Linked DNA regions of Tribolium castaneum. The protein of the gene in region 1 interacts with the protein of each later gene in a pairwise test. Links are inferred from orthologs where the notes say so. Each region holds a gene or a part of one and is shown in the gene's direction. Other genes may lie near its edges.

What was found.
Region 2: the proteins of Tcs5 (region 1) and EKC/KEOPS complex subunit Tprkb interact in binary tests that used the Homo sapiens proteins (3 or more experiments, as listed by UniProt). The link is inferred for Tribolium castaneum from reciprocal best matches to the Homo sapiens genes TP53RK and TPRKB.

What each region holds. Positions count from the first base shown.
Region 1 is NC_087394.1:35,200,301-35,203,074, reverse strand, and holds Tcs5 (EKC/KEOPS complex subunit TP53RK), read left to right. Parts: upstream 1-1,532; coding exon 1,533-2,210; downstream 2,211-2,774. Other genes in the region: MED23 (mediator of RNA polymerase II transcription subunit 23), read left to right, coding at 1-418; uncharacterized protein LOC658853, read right to left, coding at 478-521, 568-1,107, 1,153-1,249.
Region 2 is NC_087399.1:3,468,510-3,471,162, reverse strand, and holds EKC/KEOPS complex subunit Tprkb, read left to right. Parts: upstream 1-1,184; 5' UTR 1,185-1,294; intron 1,295-1,348; 5' UTR 1,349-1,433; coding exon 1,434-1,940; 3' UTR 1,941-1,984; downstream 1,985-2,653. Other genes in the region: Arpc2 (probable actin-related protein 2/3 complex subunit 2), read left to right, coding at 460-487; raptor (regulatory-associated protein of mTOR), read left to right, coding at 2,175-2,330, 2,380-2,482, 2,528-2,653. UniProt on the Homo sapiens protein: Component of the EKC/KEOPS complex that is required for the formation of a threonylcarbamoyl group on adenosine at position 37 (t(6)A37) in tRNAs that read codons beginning with adenine.

The sequences.
Region 1 (2,774 bases):
GCATAATAATTTTAGTTATATGCTAGCTTTGGCTCATTCGGTTTGGCATCACGCTGGTCCGGGGCAGATCGCCAGTGTGCCCCGATGGGCGCGTGAGTGTTTACCGGCTGTGGTACGGTCCGAAGAACAGTTTCTCTATGTTTGTCATCTTGTGGGGCCCTTTTTGCAACGGTTTAACGTGGCAATAGTGGAATTGACGAGTGCTTTGTACGAACTGTTGGCACAAGTTGACCACGCGCACAGCGAGTTGAAATATATGGACCCGATCTGCGATCTCTTGTACCACATTAAGTACATGTTTGTGGGGGATAGCATGAAGAAGGAGTTGGAGACTGTGGTGCGCCGGTTAAGACCGCCTTTGCAAATGAGGTTGAGGTTTATCGCACATTTGGCGATTGAGGAAGTTAATGCATCGTAACTCACTTGTATTATGTTTTTACATTTACGTAAATACATTTTTATAAAAAAATAAAAAACTTAATCCGATTCACTCTCCCTTGAACTTGGAAAATCCGGTTTCGCTAAAACAGTTTGTTATTTAATTGGTAACATTTCGTCGTTACATACCTTGTTTGGCCAATTCTTGCTGTTTTTGCTCATTTTCTATATATTTGGTCTGTTCGGCAATCACCGATTGGCTGTCGCTACAATTTGAATATACCTCCAATATATTTTTATTCAGTTCGATAAATGAATGTCCCCACGAAAATTTATCTAAATACTGCCGAGCTAATTTTTTGTATCCGGTGATGTACAAAGTTGCGGCTATCGCTTCAACGCAACTTAATTGGCAAGGTCGCCCGTAATTGATGGGGTTTGCGGCCACGAGAAACGGTAATAAGCGCCCATGTTGGGGCTTGAGTGCTGCAATGGGTGTCTCGTCGATTCTGGCCCATGAGCAGTCCACCACGGCTACCCCCTTGCTTGAAACAATGTCGCGATCATTGGGACTTACGCATTTAGTGCCAGTCGGGGTTAATACCAGCCCTGGAAATTTTTGTTTGACTTTTAGGGTTTTAATTAATTTTAGACGCGATAATTTGCGGCCTGAACATTTCTTGGGGTCACATTGATTAAAATCCCACATGGCAATGGGAAAGTCGGGTACTGAAATATCATTTTAAGTCTAGTTTTTGGGGGCTGTGACGCTACCTTCTTCATCGCTGCTTTCGCTACTTGAGTCATCGGAATTATCAGTCGATGATGAATTTATTGTTGCGTTCTCAAGGCTCTCCTCGACAGAAGTCATGCTTTACTATCAAGTAAAAAATTAAAATGCGACTATTTTTTAGGTTAGATAACATAACCCATAAATGTCACGTTCAGTTGAACGTGTGAGTAGAATTTTTTGTTATTGAGTAATATTAATACAAAAAATTGGAAATTGTAATGTCTTAGAGTAATCAGTGTAATGGAACGATAAACATAATTGATCAGCTCGTAATTAACAATAAATATTTACAATTACGTAACCTCACTTTTTTGTGTCAACAGCAAGAGTGAAAACTGGAATTAGTTAAAAACTACTGCAAATGGAAGGGTTCGAATTGTTCAGACAAGGTGCCGAGGGCCGAATCTTCAAAGGAGTGTATTTGGGAAAACCCGCAATTGCCAAAGAACGATTCGTTAAGAAATACCGGCATCCGGATCTTGACTCACACTTGACCAAAGAACGGATAAAAAGTGAAAGTCGTTCAATAATTCGGTGTAAATCTGCCGGAATAAGGACCCCCGCCTTATATTTAGTTGATTTCAACCGCCGTACTATTTTTATGGAGTACTTTGAGAACAGTATCGTGGTCAAGGATTTCATAGCACAAGCAAGTAACGAAGTTATAAGTAAGTTGGCGTTAAAAATTGGGGCTGTGTTGGGCAAAATGCATGCCAATAGCATCATTCACGGGGACTTGACAACATCAAACATGCTACTTGTTAATAAAAACGGACAAAAGTCGTACAGTAACTTGCAAGATTTAGAGCTGATTTTTATTGATTTTGGATTATCTCACGTAGAGTCTAGCGCTGAAGATAAAGGGGTTGATTTGTACGTGTTGGAACGAGCCCTTATCAGTACACATAGCACAGCTAGTGAAATTTTTGACCAAGTTTTGGAGGGCTATAAATTAGAGAATAAGTCAGGGTTTAAGGAAGTTTTGGCTAAATTTAAAGAAGTGCAAGCTAGGGGCCGGAAGCGTACAATGGTTGGTTGATTCATTTATTTATAATCTTGATAGCATGCCACCTGCTACTACAATTGTTTCCCCAGTCATGTAACTGGCGTCGTCTGATGCTAAAAATGCAGCTGCGCCAGCTATTTCATGTGGCATTCCCATTCTGTAAAAATAAATTCTTTAACTGAAAAAACTCAATTCGTATTGCAATAAACCTTCCCATCGGAATCATTGATAAAACTTTCTTTTTGTCTTCCTCTTTCTCGACCAGCTATGATTCAAAATGTTATAACACAATAAAAAATGTTTTTGCCTCTTACAAAGTGCGAAAACTTGGTTTTTATTAAACCCGGGGCTATGCAATTAACGGTGATATTTTCTTTAGCTAACTGGGCTGCTGCTGTTTTAGTGAGTCCAAAGAGTGCACACTTGCTCACACAGTAAGCCCCAATCAACTTGAACAAAATTTTAGCTTAAAGTTTGAGTACCTAACTGTTTTTACATCCAAAGGCTGGAAACCACCAATGGACGAGATGAAAATAATTCGACCGCAGCTACTTTTGCGAAGTAACGGTAAAGCTTCTTTCGCTAACATGAAAGCAG
Region 2 (2,653 bases), on another chromosome or scaffold:
GGTTTAGCTATAAATTAACTCTCCGATACTTGGCAACCGGTAAAATGAAACAAATCCGTCGCTTGAGCGTCTTTGGACCACTTTGGGGCCAAAATGGTTGAAGATATGGATATGGTCTCGCGGACTTTTTTTTAGCAAATTCAATTCTCTACAACTTTCTTCCTTACACTTTTTTTGTATCTTCAACCGTATTCGCACCGTTTTGAAAAATATGGGGGAGTGCAAATTGGTAAAAGTTTGACATTTTTTTAATTACAGTTTACGATAAATTTTGCTTATGTTGAGAATTTAATGCTTCATCTGTCTGTATTTTTTGTTTTACTAACATAACCAAGGAACAACTGCGCTCTCTGGCGACACTGACGGAACTATCGAGAACGGAGCGTTTTATTTGTACGTCGTTTCGTATCCTAACTTTTAGACATCCGTATCATAATTTAATTGATTGATTTGTTACAGAGGGAGAACTTTCGTTCGACGGGATTGATGTGTATAGTACTAGTGAACTTTGCTTGTAAGATCAGCTCAAAAAAGGACTAATAACTGCCGACAATTTATTAAACTTAACTGTTTCATTCAATTTTCCCATCAGTCAGTTCTTGCACAGCCTCTCTTGCAGTTTATTTATTAAGTCAATCAATTGGTTCATTCAGTACTGAATGCTACAGTTCAGTTAATAGAAGTGCTGATTTTTCAGCTACTTGTGTACATAGATTCAATCTTTTAACCATGTGCTTCCTTTGAAATATGGGTAAGCACATCAATATTGTGAATTATATATTTCTAATACAAAGTTTAATTACATATTTTTTACCCAGTTTGCGAGACGTGTTTTAGGTTTTTTACTATGTATCCGCTTGTTGTTATCATTTTGATTCGGAACGATCCTTTTTACTATTGAGAACTTGAACCGCCAAATAAATTGTATAACTTAACATAGTTTAATAGGTAATAAATGAATCGTCAATTTCTATAGCAGGTTGCAATATTTTCGGATTTCTGTAGGCAATTGGACGCATTCTTCATGCTCATTTCATTTTTATATTACATTAACAGAGCAAGACACTGTTTAATTCAATAATAGAAAATAAAATGTTATTTTAAAGTCTGTGTATCATTTTTTTACCAACTCGAAAACGTGTGGCGACACTTGATTGAACTTTATTAAGCCAGGATGGCCAACTCAAGCAGTCATTTTGGATGACTTGCTACTAACGCGAAATTCCTATTATTTTAAATTATTAAAGGAATTTCAAAAGACTGTATTGAGAGTATCAATAATTGGGTGGGAGCAGCAAACACGCACAATTTTATTTGTAATTTTATTAATCATTTTCGTGCGTTACAGATTCTACAGTAGCGAATTTCTCGCCTGAGACTGACAATAAACCTAACCCTACAATTCCACATTTTTTATTATTCACCGTTAAAAAATGGTTAAAGCGGCATTGGACCCCCTCGTGAATAAAACCCTCAACATCCGTTTATTCCACAGTGTTGAGAACGTGTCCGACTTGCGTAAAAAAATAATGTCAGGTCAACTTGAGTGTTGTCTCGTAAACCCCAAGTTGATTGTGGACCCGTTCCAGTTAGTCGTGGCCGCAAACAAGGCCCTAACTGCCAAAAACCGCACCACTAAAACGATTTTCACTGAAATTTTATTCAATTTGTCTGTATCCAAACACATAACGAAAAGTTTGCAACAGTTTGGGATCACTGACGACTGTAGAGACTTGCTGGTGGTGACTGTCGGCGACGACGACAGTCGCGTTCTTTCTGAAATTAAAGGCACGGAAGTGGAGTTGGGGGCACTTGAGGAGATTCGGGATTTGGGCGCTGTTAAGAAGGCTTACAAGATTGGGCCTGAGGAAGGGGCGACTAGCACTATTGTGGACTCCGTCGTCAGTAGGATAGCCACTAAGGATTTTATCTCGCATTGATTGTATTTAATATTGATAATAAATTATTAAAAAAGCTCTAAAAGCTGTTTGATTTTGGTGTTCCCGCTCGAGTGAACGAAAAACCCTAACAGTTGGTAGTAAGATGGCAGTTTTGTTGTCGTGCCATGCGTGTGTAAATTTTAGGTGTTGATTCCGTTTTTTGATGTAATCGTTACGACTTAAATAAATCCCACTTCACAACTCCTAAAAAACCCGAAAACGCGGCTGAAAACTATGACAGAGTTGGGTGTCAACGGCAATGACGAGAAAGACAGTGACAAGGAGGCTGTCTCCGACAAGGACCTGCCCCTGAGCTTCATGCAAGACAGGCACTTGGAGCCCATCGAGGGCGTCGAGTGCATAACGCAGACATGGCGCATGAAAGAACGCGTAACTGCAACCCGCCCACAAGTTGCTTGTTTTAATTACAAAATTCCAGATGAAAACAGTGAGTGTGGCCCTAGTTCTGTGTCTGAACGTGGGCGTGGACCCGCCCGACGTGATGAAAACCCAGCCATGTGCGCGTCTGGAGTGCTGGATAGGTAATTAGGTCGGCATGCGTTCGCGGAATTCAGGTCGTGTTCCAGATCCCTTAACCTTGTCCGCCCCAAAGTCGATCCAGAAAATCGGGGAGAACCTGCAGGCGCAGTACGAGCGGTGGCAGCCCCGCGCGCGCTACAAGCAGTCCCTGGACCCCACTTCGGAAGAAGTCA